Lonchura striata: one gene and its partner. The protein of the gene in region 2 purifies or fractionates together with the protein of the main gene of each other region. This does not show direct contact. Links are inferred from orthologs where the notes say so. Each region holds a gene or a part of one and is shown on either strand. Other genes may lie near its edges.

What was found.
Region 1: the proteins of SEC31A (region 2) and N-terminal kinase-like protein purify together in Homo sapiens (affinity purification with mass spectrometry; 3 studies listed by BioGRID and IntAct, counting the BioPlex papers as one, with this or other methods). This does not show direct contact. The link is inferred for Lonchura striata from reciprocal best matches to the Homo sapiens genes SEC31A and SCYL1.

What each region holds. Positions count from the first base shown.
Region 1 is NC_134638.1:548,999-556,534, forward strand, and holds the start of N-terminal kinase-like protein, read right to left. Parts: upstream 3,155-7,536; 5' UTR 3,111-3,154; coding exon 2,973-3,110; intron 2,772-2,972; coding exon 2,628-2,771; intron 2,430-2,627; coding exon 2,307-2,429; intron 2,033-2,306; coding exon 1,818-2,032; intron 1,720-1,817; coding exon 1,629-1,719; intron 1,446-1,628; coding exon 1,290-1,445; intron 879-1,289; coding exon 720-878; intron 450-719; coding exon 342-449; intron 106-341; coding exon 1-105. UniProt on the Homo sapiens protein: Regulates COPI-mediated retrograde protein traffic at the interface between the Golgi apparatus and the endoplasmic reticulum. Involved in the maintenance of the Golgi apparatus morphology.
Region 2 is NC_134606.1:60,923,977-60,931,797, forward strand, and holds the start of SEC31A (protein transport protein Sec31A), read right to left. Parts: upstream 3,208-7,821; 5' UTR 3,092-3,207; intron 2,551-3,091; 5' UTR 2,547-2,550; coding exon 2,468-2,546; intron 1,946-2,467; coding exon 1,822-1,945; intron 1-1,821. UniProt on the Homo sapiens protein: Component of the coat protein complex II (COPII) which promotes the formation of transport vesicles from the endoplasmic reticulum (ER).

The DNA of each region.
Region 1 (7,536 bases), on a different chromosome or scaffold from region 2:
CTGCTCGCGGATGGCTGGGTTGGAGTCTAGGAAGCCGTGGGCGACGTGGGGGAAAATTTGGGAGTCCACCGTGGAGTCAGGCAGGAACTCGATGAACTCCTCGAGCTGGGGGGGCGTGAGACCCCTGAACACCCCCAGGGACCCCCAAAAACCACAGATCGCCCCCCATAGACCCCCCCCCAGGCCTCCTCTGAACTCATAGACCCCTCCTAGTGACCCCCTAAACCCCATGGATAACCCCACCATCTCTCCCAGTCCTTCCCACTGCCTCCCAATCCCTTCCCAGTCCCATCCCAGTGCTCCCAGTCCCATCCCAGCCCCCTCCCAGTGCTCCCAGTCACCAGCTGCAGCAGGCGCAGGCGCAGGCCCCGCTCAGGGGACGAGAAGAGCCGGACGAGGACGGGGACAATTCGCTCCTGGTACTCGGGGGGGTCCAGCACCTTCGCCACCTGGGGGAGCGGGGGGAGACCAGGGGGCTATGGGGGTTACTGGGGGGATTTTGGGGGCCAGGGAGGTTTTAGGGGGGATTTTGGGGGTCAGGGAGATTTTGGGGGGGATTTTGGGGGTCAGGGAGGTTTTGGGGGGTATTTTGGGGGTCAGGGAGGTTTGGGGGGGGTATTTTGGGGGGGGTCTCACCTGCAGCAGCGGGAGCAGGGAGGTTGTGGGTGGGATTTTGGGGGTCAGGGAGGTTTTGGGGGGTATTTTGGGGGGGGTCTCACCTGCAGCAGCGGGGGCAGGGCGCTGGCGTCGGCGCTGCCCAGCTCCAGGGCCTCGAGCAGCCTCGGGAGCAGCTTGTGCCTGCGGAAGGGCCCCGGGAGGGACTCCAGGAGAGGGGGCAGCTCCTGCAGGAACGTCCGGCGCTCCGAGGGGTCCCGGACCTGCCGGGGGTCGGGGGGGACATCAGGGGATGGGGAGGATGATGGGGATGAAGGTGAGGAAGAGAATGAAGGAATAGGAGTGAAAACAATGATGATGGTGAGGATGATGAGGGGACAGGGATGGGAACGAGATGAGGATGGAAGAGCAGGGATGAAGGAACAGGAATGAAAATGAGACAAAAGGAACATAAATGAACACGGGAATGGGACAAGCATGAGGATTGAGGGACGATCAGGAGACAGCGATGGGGATGAGGATGATGATGGGGATGAGGAACAACAACAAGCACAAAGATGAGGAGACAGGGATGGGAATGAGAATAAAACAGGAATGAACGCGAGGATGAGGATGAGGTGTTCTGAATGAAAAATAACAGAGGGAACAGGGACGAGGCGAGGCTGAAGCCAGACCTGGAAGTGCTCGAGGAAGAGCCCGGTGCGCACCAGGGCGCAGGCCAGGAAGGCTCCAGGGCGCTGCAGCCGCTCCAGGAGCGGCCCCGGGCCCGGCCGGGCCCCCGGATCCGCCGCCACCAGCTCCGAGAAGGGCGGGATGAGCCCGGGGGGCAGCTGGGGGACAGGGGGGACACAGGGTCAGGGGCACCCCAGGGGCTGGGGGGACAGGGGGACCCCCGAGCCTGGGGGGGGATCTGGGGGGTGAGCAGAAATCTGGGGATCCAAGTCTGGGGGGAGTCAAACTGGGGGATCCCGGGTGTTCAGGGGGTCCCCAGGATTTTGGGGGGGGTCCCTGACCTTGCCGAAGCTGCGCAGAGCCCCCGGCCGGGGGAGGGGTCCATTGAAGACCTCCCAGATGAGGCAGCCCAGGCGCCACATGTCCCCTGCCCTGGGGGGGGCCGTGACAGTGGGGAGGGGGCACAGGAGACCCCCGTGGTCCCCTGAACCCCCCCCCACCCCCTTTTTCAGGTGCCCTCCCCAACTCACCAGGGGTCCCCCTGGCCTCGGGAGGGGTTACTGAGCTCGGGGGGGTCCTGTGGCCGAGGGGGGTCGCTGGGGGGGCGTGTGGGGGTCCCCTCGCTGGTGGCCGCCACCCGCTCCAGCCCCCCCAGCTTCCACTCGCCGCCGGGGTCCACGAAGACGGCGTCGAGCCCCAGCGCGTGGTGAACGAGCCCCGAGGCCCCCAGGAACGCCAGCGCCGTCTGGGGGGGCAAAAACCCCCCGATAGCCAAAAACCTCTCAGAAACCCCCCCTGGATCCCAGAACCCCCCCAGATCCTGGAGACCCCCCCCCCAAGACCCTGGAGATCCCTCCACCCAAGACCCTGGGGATCCCCCCCACCCAAGACCCTGGGGATCCCCCCCACCCAAGACCCTGGGGATCCCTCCACCCAAGACCCTGGGGATCCCCCCCACTCTCCGGATCTTGGGGTCCCCCCAATGGTCTCAGGTCTCCCCTCAGGGATCCCCCCCTCACCAGCAGCCGCTGCAGCCCCCAGGCCACCTCCTGCTCGCCCGCGTCCCCGCTCGGGGGGTGCAGCCGCAGGTGCCGCCGCAGGGGGGTCACGGCCTCGGTCACCAGGTACAGGCACTGCTCCGTCTGGGGGGACACTCGGGGTCACCCCCGTGTCCCCCCATTGTGTCCCTCCTTCATCCCCTCGCTGTCACCACCGGCCCTGTCCCCCCAGTGTCCCCCTGTCCCAGCATGACTGCCCGCTCCCCCTGTCACCATTGTCCCCATGTCCCCCCAGCCACCCCCATGTCCCCGCTGTCCCCCCGCTGTCCCCGCTGCCGTCACCTCCAGGCTGTCCAGGTAGCCCAGGATGTTGGGGTGCCGGAGGCTGCGGAGCCGCTTCAGCCCCGCCCGGGCCAGGCCGGTGGCACCGGGGTCGCCCCCCGGGGCCAGGCTGTGAGCGAACACCGACACCGGAGCGCCATCGGCCTGGGGACACGGGGACGGCGGTGACACGGGGCTGGGGCCAGCGGGGCGGGGGGCAGGAGACAGCCGGGCCGGGGGGATGAGGGCTGGGGACACCGAGGGGACACCGGGGGGGACTCGGGGCAGGGATGGCGGGGCCGTGGCCATGCAGGGTGCGGGGACGGGGACACCGAGGGGACACGGACCCCCCCCCCCCCCCCGCACCTTGCGGCGGCCCCGCAGCAGCCGCCAGAGCGGGGCCGGCGCCGCGGGGTCCGGCTGCGGCTCCGCGTCGGGCTCCGCGTCGGGCGGGCCCAGCTCGAAGGGGAAGTCCCGCACCGGGTCCCGGGAGAAGAGCCACATGGCGGGGCCGCGGCTCCCCGGGGCTCCCGGCGGCTCCCGGGGCCGCAGCGGGCCCGGAGGAAGCGGCGGCGGCGCCGGGCGGGAGGATCCGGTGACGGGCCGGGGGGGCGGGGCCCCGGCGAGCCAATGAGGGGCGAAGGGTGGGGCCTGGGGGAGCCAATGAGAGCGCGGGGGTGGGGAATGGGAGGAGCGAAGGGCGGGACTCGGGAGAGCCAATAAGGGACAGGGGAGGGGCCTGAAAGAACCAATGAGCGGCCAGCAATGAGGAAGGGGCGGGGCTAGAAAGGGGGCGAGGCCAAACCCGCCGGGACGGGGCGGGGCTTGTACAGGACACGCGGCAGGAAGCGGCGGTGACGTCACCAAGCGGGCCCAGCCCGCGCTGCGATGACGTCAGAGGGAGCAGCCAGTGACGTCATATGCACCAAGGGCACCCCCCCCCCAGCCCCAATGACGACACAGGCGCGGTCGGGGCTCTGCCGTTTATTGGTCACTGGGGGTCCCTGTCGCGACAGGGGGGGCTCACAGCGATGCGGCGCCCACTCGTGGTCCCGCTCCTGTCGCGATACAGGGGCACTGTCGCGACAGGAGCGTCCATCTTCATCTTCATCCAGGGTCCTGCCAGGATCGGAGCCCTTGCAGAGCGTGGACAGACGTTCTTGTCGCGATAGACCATCCCTGTCGTGACACGGGGCACCCCCATCCTGGTACTGTGGGTCACCCGGTGTGGGGCTCTGGGACAATGGGGGGGGTCCCTGTCACGACATGTGGGGCCCTATTACCAAAAGGGGTCCCTGTCACAACATGGAATCGCCCCCGCCCTCGTACCATGGGTCCCCCAAAACCATGTGAACACGTGGGGGGATTCCTGTCGTGATAATGGGTCCTTATCACAATACGGGGGCTCCTATCGCGATATGAGGTCCCTGTCGGGATACAGGGGTCTCCCTTTCCTCTGGATTTCCAGATCCCCAAGTCAAGGAGGAGAAACGGGGGGGGTTCTCCACCACAACATGGGGCTCCCTGTCGTGATATGGGGGGTCTGTGTCGGGACAGGACCCCAGGCCAGCAGCAGCGGCGCCGCGGGGAGTCGAACCCCGCCCCGGGGGGTCCCGGGGGTGCCACCACCGGCGCCTTTTGCTTTTTTTTCGGCCTTTTTGGGTCCAGAGGAGAAAAAGCAAAACCTGAGAAAACGGGGTAAAGTTTTCTCAGGAAAAGAAAAAACCTCCCGAAACGGGGAAAAAAAAAAAGCAAAAAAAACCTCCCCAAAACGGGTCCGGCCCCGCCCCAAGCGACTTGGGGCAAAATGTGGGGAATTTGGGGCCGGAGCGCACCCGAAAACGGGCGGTTTGGGGGGTTTGGGACCCACCACGCGCCCCCGGCGCAATTTGGGCGGAGAAACGGGAATTTTGGGTCCGAGTCACGGCCCAGGCGCAAAACAAGACTCAGAAACGGATTTGGGGTCACGGGCGCGTCCCGGTCGCAAAACGGGGCCGGGAGGAGGAAATGAGGGCGCAAAATGGGCTCAGACCGGCGGATTTGGGGTTAATCCCGCGCCCCCGGAGCACAGCGAGGTCCGAAAGGAGGATTTGGGGTCGGCCGCGCGCCCCCGGCACGGGATCGGCTCCGAAACGGGGTTTGGGGTCCATCGCGCGCCCCCCTCGCGGCTCGGGCCGAGAACGGGCGATTTTGGGGCTCGGCGCGTCCCGGGGCCCCGCCGGTACTTACTCTGCTGGCTCACCTGTCTTATTTTGGGGGGAATTTCTAGTTTTTTAAGCCTTTTTGGTTTTTTTTTTTTGGAGCAAATTGTCCATTTTGGGGCGAATCAAGGCGGTTTTGGCACTGTCACTGTGGGGAGGGGAGAGAGACAACAGCCAGCCCCCCATCCCGCACACCTGGCTCCTCCATCCCTTTGCTTTGGGGGAAAATCCGGGGGAAACGGTACAAAAGCTCCTCCCCCTCCCCAGGCACCAGGCGAAAGCGCTGACTAAGCACTTTTTTGGGGTGGAAAACACCCTTTTTTTTGTTTCAATTCCCAGCTTGGGGGCGGGCCCAACGAGCAGCGCATTCTGAAGCAATTTTAGCAATTTTTAGGGTTTTTTTAAGTGGGTGGGGGGGAAAGCAGCCAAACCCAAAGCTCCCCCTCCCCTTCCATCCCTGGAGTGGCCCATTTTGGGGTGAAAGCGGCACAAATACCAATTTCTGGCTCCCTACTGTTCCTGCAGACCCTGATTTGGGGGTTTTTTTGCCCCAGTCTGGCTCTTGGAGGCTCCTCTGGCGGGGGCAGGGCCGGCGGGGCTGCAAAAAACACCCACGAGACCCCCCCACACACACACACCCTGTCAGCACAACTGATTCTGGGGGGAAAAGCGGCCGAATCGGTCAAACCGCCCGCGGGTCGCGCTTTTCCGCCGGTTTTGGGGGGATTTGGGGTCGGGAGGTGCCCGCATGCCACGTCCGGGGGGGTCCCCGCGCTCCCCCCGCCCCAAACCGGCCGAAATCGCCCCAAATCTGCCGCCCTCCCCCCCCCACCCCGCGCGGGTCCCGGGGGGGGGCTCAGGGTGGGGGGGGGGCGCACCCGGTACCTGCCACCGCCGATTTGGGGGGTTTTGCCTCAAATTCGAGGCTCCCGCCCCTTGCTCGCTCCTACACTTACTCGTTTTGGGGACAAAAGTCTAAATTTAAGCATTCCTGCTGCTGGTTTCGGGAGAAAAAAACCTGGAAACATGATTATTGTCCCCTCCCCCCACGCCTGCTCCAGCCCCTCCCTCCACGGGGTTTTGGGGTGGGGGTTTACGGTTTTTTTTTCTTTCCTAAGGAAAGCTCCTGGAGCCAAATTCCTGCTCTTCCAGCTTCACTTTGGGGCAAAAAAAGCTTCTTTTTGCTGCTGCTGCTGCCTCCTCTCACTTGCGGCTGCGGAAAGGGCGGAAAACACCCCAAAACCGCCCCCTACCCACCAAAAACCGACCTCCCCAAAAAATGAAAAGAAAGAAAATCGACTCTTACTTCTCTGCATTCCCCAGCTCTGGGGGTTTTCTCCTCAAATCCCTGCCGGAATCTCCTGAGCGCGTTTTGAGTGCAGACTGGCCTTTTTTGGTTAAATCCTCTCTTTTTTTTTCCCTTTCCTCGGCTTTTTCTCACCGTTTTGGGTTTTTTTTTTTTGGCCTTTTTTCCCTGCGTTTTGCTGCTTCCCTGAAGGGGAAAAACACTCGAGACACCCCCTCCCCCTTTCCCCACCCCCCACCCCAAAAAAATACAAAACATTTCTTTGAGCATTTCTCTCCCTTTTTTTTTTGATCACCGGCCCCTCCCGCGCGACGCCTTTGGGTTAAAAACAAAAGATTTTGGACACTTACTGAGCGGCGCCGGCGGGAGCGGCGGAGCCGGAGGGCGCTGGAGGAATTTGGGGGGTTTTCCCCATTTTTGGGGAGTTTAATAGAAAGAGGGAAGGGGAAGGGGCGACGGCGGCGGCGCCTGAAACGACAGAACCCCAAAACCCCCCAAATCCCCCCAAAATTCCCAAACCCCCGGGGGGGTGGGGCCTCACCCGGCCGCTGCCTCCGGCTCCATTTGGGGCATTTTCCTCAAATTCCTCAATTTTCCTGGCTCCGGGACCCAAATCGGGATTTTTCTTCCTTTTTCTCCCTTTATCCTTCTTTTTTTCATTAATTTTCGCTTCTATTTTCTCCTCTAAATCCTCTTTGATTTTCTCTCATTTTTCCTCTCTTCTATTCTCTTCTATTTTCTCTCTTCTGCTTTTTCCCTGTTTTCTTTCACTTCCATCTTCTCAAGTTTTCAGCACTTGGGTCTTTTTTTTTCTATAATTTTCTATTTTCTTTTTTCTAGTTTCATTTTTCCCAATTGCAATTTTTCTATTTATTTACAGTCTATTTTCATTTTTTCTATTATTTTTCTAGATTCTTCTATTTTCTATTTGTTCGATTTTCTTTTTTTCTAATTTCTTCTATTTTCTCAAATTTTCTAGTTTTCCTAGTTTCTTCTATTCTCCAACTTTCTTCTCTTTTTTCTATTTTCTATTTTTCCATTTTTTCTATGCTTTTTCAGTTTTCGCTTTTCCAATTTCTATTTTTTCAATTTCGTTTTCTTTTTTCTATTTTTTTCTAATTTTTTTCTGATTTTCTTCTATTTTCTTTTTTGTTTTGTTCTATTTTCTGTCTTTCTCTCCTTTTTTCCTCTCTTCTCTCTGCTCCTCCCCTGCCCAACTGCCGCCATTTTACCAAAAAGTCCTTTTTTCCCCCCAGATGGGGCCACTGCGAAGAAAAACTTTCCTTTCCCTGCCGATTCCATCTTCACTCTTCAGTTTTCCTGCTCTTCCCTCAAAATTGGCTCCTCTCAATCCATCCTGCGTCTGAAAATGCCGCATTTCACCCCAAACCGGCCGCCCCCGCCTGCGCTGCCCGGCCCGGCC
Region 2 (7,821 bases):
AAAACCTCTATCTGTGAGCAGTTTCATACAGAAAAAAAACAGGTGAAAGTAGAAAAATTCCATATGCTTTTCCGTATCTATGCTTTTGGATGTGCAAGTGTTTTGTCTGCCATACCAGGGACTCAGCATCACTCACAGACACATCTCCTGGACCACAGCCTATTTTCAGGCTAACTCAATAGGAATCAAACATACTTCCAGAAATTAACACTATTGTGCCCATCTGTAAATACCCAAATTCTCTTCAAGTCAATTAACTTCCTGCATAAGCAAAACAGCATTCCTGTGCACTTAGCCATGCAAAGAATGAGTATGTTCTGCATAAAATTACACAACTACTTACCAGCTCTTATGCAAGCAGAAAGCAAACCCACATTGACTGGAAAGTGGCAAGGAGATACCTTAGCATTCACTGTAATGTTGCTCATCCATTTGTTACCTCTGGGCAATCTTCAAGTAATTTATTTAAATCACACCAACTTTAGCATGGTAAGATGGAGACTGCAGAAAGCTACCCAAAGAGCATATGCTGGGTGAGAAATACCATAACAGCCAAGTGTTCAGGCTCCCAGTATTGAGATTACAGAAGGGGTTCATGGAAGAATGCTGCTACAAATGGAAATTGGTTTGTGATATCAGACAGACCCATTCCTGGGTATGATTGTTATGCTTCTGCACCTAACTATGCAAGTTTACCAGAAATGAAGTAGCTGACAGGGCTGTCCAGGCATCACCACCAAGACTGAACAGGACTTAAAACAACCCAAAATGAAGGAAGGAAACAATGAGGAACAAACCCCAAAAATTAACAGTGCAATTACTTTCCTTTTGCCCTTTACTCTTTCCAAGATAAAGTATGGTTCTATAAAAGCAGTGCAAAACTTTGCTTGGAGGGCAATTAAGGATTTATCTTTTGTGGGTATAATCACCTGGACATTTTCATTTGCTGAAAACCAAAATACAGCCTGACGTATACATTGCTATCTAATCTTTAATTGGAAACAAACAAACAACCCTCAACCTCATTTTTAATACATTTTCTGGGGCAAAGTCAAATTCTCGTGTTGCTGGTCAAGGGAGGTACTTTCCAAGGAGCACTGCATCCTGGCTATAAGGAGTGCTTCTAGAAATTCAGAATGCAAATGACAAGTCTTGACAAATTTCACTCACAGTTAAAACAAGGTAGAACAACGAAACTCAAGATCCAGCACTGCCTCCTGCTCTGAGCAGGTCAGTAGGACATATTGACATCAGCTCTGCTCACAGAGCAGGGCATTTAAAAAGGGATTGTGGCTGTTTCAGTTCTGCCAGGGAGCTGCTGTGAGTGCTGCTGAGATGGAAACTGGATACTCTGATGCTAACAATATTTATCTGGATAAGCACATGGTGAGGAACTAAGTAGAGCTGTGCAGCCAGAAAATTGGCTTCCCAGCTGTCGGAACACACACAACATAACCCAAGTTAGTTATGCTACAGGAGTCCCCCTGAAATGCCTAAATACAAACAGGATGATGCAATATGAAAAGTTGCCACCAAAATTTCACATGTTCTTCTGTTTTCTTGTGAATCCCAGAGGCTTCCAAAGATAAAGGCTCCACACATATAGTCAAAAATTTTCTGTTTATGTCAAAGCATGAGCTACTTTCTTACAGTCCAACATCACTGTCCCACAGTATCAACTGCACACACTTGCCTTCATCTTTCAGTGCTGAACTGCTTCTCTCCTCAACAAGTGCAGTGAAACCACATGAAGTGACATCTCTACACATACCACACATAACAGTTCCACACACTGTACTTTTCCCTTACAACACTGCCTACCTGTGTGAGGAGGAGAATGTGGCACAGCTCTTCATATCCAGTGAAGGGTCTGCTAAGTCCAACTCAAATATTTCTAGAGAAGCACTTGTACTGAAGGTTGCATCCAGCTGCTGAGCTGATGTACCTGCAAGGAAGCACACCTGGCAGTGAGAGAGCCATGATACACAGAGCAGTAACTGCAAATGCAGCACAAGGAGGGGAACAAAAACATCATCCTTTCAAAAACGATCCTGAGATGGACTCAGGCTTCTGTTTTTATTACTTAGATGCAGTTCCACACAACTTTCCTCCCCATGGCTCTTTCTTTGGATGTTTCTTAAAGAATATGAGCAGGAAAATATTTGGGCAAGTACCTCCCTGATGATGCACAGAACGCAGTTAAAGTGACAAAGGAGCCACAAGTGACTAGTACTTAGGATTGGTGTCACCTTTCCCTGGCAGAAAGACAAGGGTTCTCACTGTTACTCGCAGAATGCAAAGCATGTTTTTATCAGCACAATGCAAGAACTCAGCTCAAAACCCCACAACATATACTGCACTCCAGCCCTCAGGACACAGAGTATCTCCTACAGCTTTCAATAACCCCTTCATGGCAGCCACCAAACAGAGCCCGAGGTCTGCTAGCACGTGCTGCCCAAAAACTCACCTGTAGCCAGGTAAATGGGGTGCTGCTGGGCAGGGCTCCATGCCTGCATGGCAGTACGGTCTACTTCCTTCAGCTTCATTTTGCTGAAAAGTAAGACCAAGACAAGTGATGCTTAAATGGTGCATGGTGAGACTGCACTGCCACGGATACAGAAGCCACTTTAGGACTCGGCAGAAGCAGCCAGAGGGACCATTTTTCTAAAGATATCCCTCAGACAGACAGCCAAGCCATCCCCTCCAGAGGGCACCCGGCGGAGGGAAGGAATGCCTCTCCATTAGCAGAGTAACATTGACACGCAGAGGAAACTGACGGCTGCTGAACCTAACACAGGAAAACGTGGGCAAAGCTTCAACAGCTGTGAAAAACCCTCTTCTCACAGCAGCAAGCACCCTACAGCAGCTTTGTGCCTTAACCCACGAAACCAACCCAGCCCCGGGAAGCCGAACACTCAGCGGCTCGTTCCTGGCTCCCATTTCATTCCCAGGGCTCCCTCGCCTCGGGGCACCCCGCGCGGCCAGCGGGACCGCCACCCTCGCCCCGTTTCCGACAGGAGCCGGAGGAAAACAGCACTGAAACAGAGGATTTCGCCGTCCCTGCCCTCACATCGGCGTCCCCGGCGCTCACCCGTCCCCGGACCGCTCCAACGTGGCAGCCCCGGCACCGCCTCCCGGCCGCCACCGCCTTCCGGGCGCGCCCCGCGGCTTCCGGGCGGCAGCGGCGGGGCCGCGCCTTCCGCACGGGAACCGGGGGGCGGTGGTGATGGGAGAGTGTGTATGGGGATGTGCGGCCGCCTCCTTCCGCGCGTGTCCTCCGCGTCCCTCGGGCGGGAGCAGCCATCGGGCCTGGGGAAGAGGGAGACTGGTTAGGGGCGCCGGGAGCGGGGGGAGCCCGGCGCAGCGCCGGCAGCGCGGTGGCCGCGGTGCCGCCTGTCCTCAGCTCAAGGGCAGTAATCATGGCGTGCTCAGGATGTGAACAGCAGTGAGACTCATCACGGGACAGGGGCCACCTCGGGGCGGGGAACGGCCCAAGGGAGCTCAGCCGGCTTCCACAGCCGGGGGCCACAGTCCCGGACCCACCTCCTCACGGCAGCCGGGGCACAGCTGCGCTGCCGCCTCCCGCCGCCGCTGGGCTCCGCGGCCGCTCGGCGGGCAGACGCCGTGCGCGGGGCGGGCGCTGCCCGGACCGCATGGCGCGGCCCGGCGGGAGCACAGCGGCAGAGGCGGCGGGCGCTGCCGGCCCCGCTATAAGTAGGGCCGGAGGCGCGGCTCCCATTGGCGCTCAGGATCGCCCCTCGCCACTGGCTGCGCCCGCCGCCGCCGCCGCTCCCGGTTGGCTCGGGCCGCTCCCGGCCCCGCCGCCGCCTCCCGCGGTGACGCGGCCAATAGGGCCGCGGTCCGACGGCCCCGCCGGCCAATGGCGAGGCGGCGGCCGGGCGCGCGGGCGGCGGCGGCGGCCAATGGGCGGGCCCGGCGCGGCGCGCGCGCGGCGGCGGGTGCGGCGGCGGCGGCCATGACGCGGAGCTGCTCCGCGCTGGGCTGCACCGCGCGCGACACCGGGCGGAGCCGCGAGCGCGGCATCTCCTTCCACCAGTGAGTGCGCCCGCGCCGCCCGCCCGCATCCCTCCCTCCGTCCCTCCGTCCCTGCATCCCGCCGTCTCCCTCTGCCGCAGGTTCCCGGTGGACGCCGCGCAGCGCCGCGAGTGGATCCGCGCCGTGAACCGCGTGGACCCGCGGAGCCGCCGGGCGTGGCGGCCGGGCCCCGGTGCCATCCTCTGCTCCCGACACTTCGCCGAAGGGGACTTCGAGCGCTACGGGCTGCGGCGGAAGCTGCGGCGGGGGGCCGTGCCCTCCCGCTTCCTCCCCTCGGTGCGGGCAGGTACCGGGCGCGCTCCCCGACCCCCCCGGGGGTTCCGCCGTGTGCCGTGACCTGCCCTCTCCTTGCCCCGCCAGGAGCCGCCGGCCGCCGGGCGCAGGAGGAGCGGGACCCCCGGCCGAACGCTGAAGCAGCCGCTGCCCAGCCCGCCCGCCGGGGACCACAACTACAGCCTGCAGGGACAGCGGGAGCCGCGGCCGCCGCCGGACGCCCCGCGGCACCAGCAGCAGCCGCCGGCCGCCGGGAGATGCGGCCCCGCGCATCGGCGCAGGACCGTGCCGAGCATCCTCAGGGAGCTGGCGGAAAAGCGGCAGCTTTCTGAGGAAATCGTGAGTTTGCTGCAGGCGCAGTTTTCAGGTACTGCCGGGACGCTTGCTGAAGCAGAGTGCATTCCCTGGCCCCGGGTTCATGTCTTTGCTTAACCCGTGCCAAGGAAGAGGCGAGGCACAGTAGTGTAGTTGCTGAGCCCTACACTGCATGCCAGCCTTCAGGACTGAGTTGTTCCAGAGGCCATGCTGTTGCTTTGTATTCTGCGGGGTGTTTATGGCATGCATCCCTCTGTTTCCAGCCATTTATTTGTTTCGCTAAAGTTGACCTTTTGTGATTTCTTAAGCAGATTTGCCTCGAGAGTTGCACAGCTGGAGGCAGATGGCAGACTACTCACCAGAAATGAGGCAATTTGCTTGTCTTCTCCATCTCTACCATATTAAGGCCTATGATTACCTACGGAAGATTCTTCCTCTCCCTCATCCTTACAGTCTGACAAAGCAAGTTTTAAGTTATTCATTTATTCAGAATGTATTTCCAGTACTGGTGTAGAAATAGATGTAACGGATCTGTCCTGAAGCTGCCTTGTTACTTCCCTGCATGGTCAACACTTTCCTTGGCTTCCTACCACTAGGGTGAGAGGAGAGAAACTCGGACTATGCATGAAGGAAACCAGGGCTGCCTTCTTTGCCCTGCATGTCTCAGCCTTCTCTGCAGCTCGGGCATGGCTGACCATGTCCTAAGTCGTAAAAAGTGCTGCCTGTTGCTTCAACTTTTCCAGAATCATGTCTCCTAATCACATCCCTTTTTTTTTTTTTTTTCAGCTGGCTGTCTAATAACGAGGCTGCTGCAGGCTTCAGCAGTGACATTTTTCTCCAGCTTCAGGAAAAGGTGGAGAGAGGGGATCAGGCCTGCCGCTACTGCGCCGTGCTGGTACAGGATGTGTCCCTGCAGAAGCAGCAGGAGTGGGACCCACAGAGCAAACAGCTGACGGGCTTTGTTGACTTGGGAGCAGGCATCCTTGACGCTGACGAAGCTCCACTGGCGTCGGAAGCAATAATCCTCATGGCAGTCGGCATCTCGAGCCCTTGGACAGCTCCCCTTGGCTATTTCTTGGTGAACAGTATATCCGGCAACTTCCTTGCTCAGCTCCTTCGTCAGGCCATCCATAAGCTGAACAACGTTGGGATGATGGTCCTGGCTGTGACATCGGGTGCCTCTGCTCGCGGTGCTGAGACTGCCAGGGCTTTGGGGATCAGGATAGATCCCAAAAGGATTCAGTGCACTTTCCAGCATCCACCCGGTTCTGCTCACAGCATTGCGTACTTCTTTGATGTTTGTCATACCCTCCTGCTGATAAGGAATGCTCTGCAGTGCTTCCACAAGGTCGAGTGGCTCGGTGACATCATGTGGTGGCAGCATGTGGTGGAGCTGGCAGCTTTGGGTGAGCAGAGGGTGTTGGAGCTGTGCAGTCCTGAGTCAGGCAGGGCTGGGAGTAAAGGGAGTTACCACCTGAAGGTCAACCTCGCTACCCTGCTGTTCAGCGAGGGTGTTGCTGAGGCACTGGAGCACCTCCAGAAACTGGGCCTTACCTCATTTCAGAACTGCAGTGGGACTGTCAAGTTTGTGCGTCTGATGAGCTCGCTGTGCGATGTGTTTTATGGCAGAGGCCCCTATGGAAAGGAGTCTTTGCTAGCTGGAAATTTCACCAAAATAAGCAACCTCTTCGATGAAGCCAGGAGCTGCTTTATCAATTTAAAAGACTCTGTGGGGAGATACATTATTAAGAGCAAACGCAAACTGGGATTTCTGAGCTTCTTGCTCAACACTGAAAGCCTTAAGTGGCTTTCCTCTAACCACACATGTCAAAAAGGCACTCCTTCCCACCACCTCCACACACATGCCTTCAGCCTGGACCCCCTGGAGCAGTTTCTCAGGGCCCTCCACCAAGCCTGTGGCAGCAGCAGCCCTACCTGTGCTGTGTTCCAGGCTACTTACCACAAACTGCTGGCCAGCTGCAGCCTGGCCCCCAGCTCGCCACCCAGCAGTGGCAATGCCAGCCCCTGGAACGCATCCCCGTCTCAGAGGAGAGCTCTGACTCTGGGAAGCATTCGTGCTCAGTATCAGCCAGCTCCAGGCAAGACCCTGGCCCCAGACTACCCCTACAGCGCAGGCCTGCTTTTGCCCAGCTCTGCCCTGAGCAATGCGCTGACAGATCTGTCACTGCACATGCAGAGCCTCACCTGCACTGCTGGCTGGGTGGCCGAGCAGTTGGCTGTGGACTTGCAGTGTGAGGCTTGTTTTGCCTCTCTGTTTGAGGTGGATGAGAACAGGCTAAGATGCAGGTCAGTGCTCCACATAAAAAAATTAGGTGGCATGAGTCTGCCCTCGGCCAGTGTGCACCACATAACAAGCATTTCAGAACAAGTCCTAAACCGATATGGCAGAGTAGGAGGTGCCAACAAAAATACCAAGCTGTGGCATTTGTGTCTAGAACATAAAGTCTTCCAGGAGCTTCTGGGAGAAAGCCCCCTCTTTCCCACCCTCACAAACCATTTATTTGAGGGGAAACTGAGCATCAACAACCACTACACAATCTTAGTAAAGGAAATAACACGGTGTTACTTAAACATAAGAACACACCTCACCGAACACCTAAATTTGAAATACTCTTGTGGAAGGCACAAATTGAAGAGACTGAAAGGAAAGTATTTGTTTCCATCACCACAGGGTAGCTGTCAGTCAAGCTAAACCCACACATGGTCTTAGTGAGTATATTGTAATTCCAAGGATGGCTGTTCCTTGCTGAGCTCAGTGCTGGATAGCTCTAGGCAACATACATGAGGAAACAATGTTGGCAAAACTGGTGTTGATAAGCAGTGCTGTTTTGGGCCACTGCAAACCCCCTAACCAGAGTTTAACTGAGCAAAGCAAGGAAGTTTATCTGATCCCCTGTTCTCTCTAGCAGTCCTGCAGAGCAGCCACATATTTAATGAAACTTATATGGCAGGTCAGGATGAACCAGGGTTGCACAAGGTGCCTGGGGCAGTGGTAGGAGACTGCAGTGTCCCTGGAAATGCTGGGTGGCTTTAGTGCTGCAAGTGCTCTTGCCAGAAGAAAACTGATAATTGATGAGGTTGCAGGGAATCAATGCACTGGCACTTGGATTTTACCAAAAAGATGGGCTTTATAAAATCTGGGAGCAAGAAAGTTTT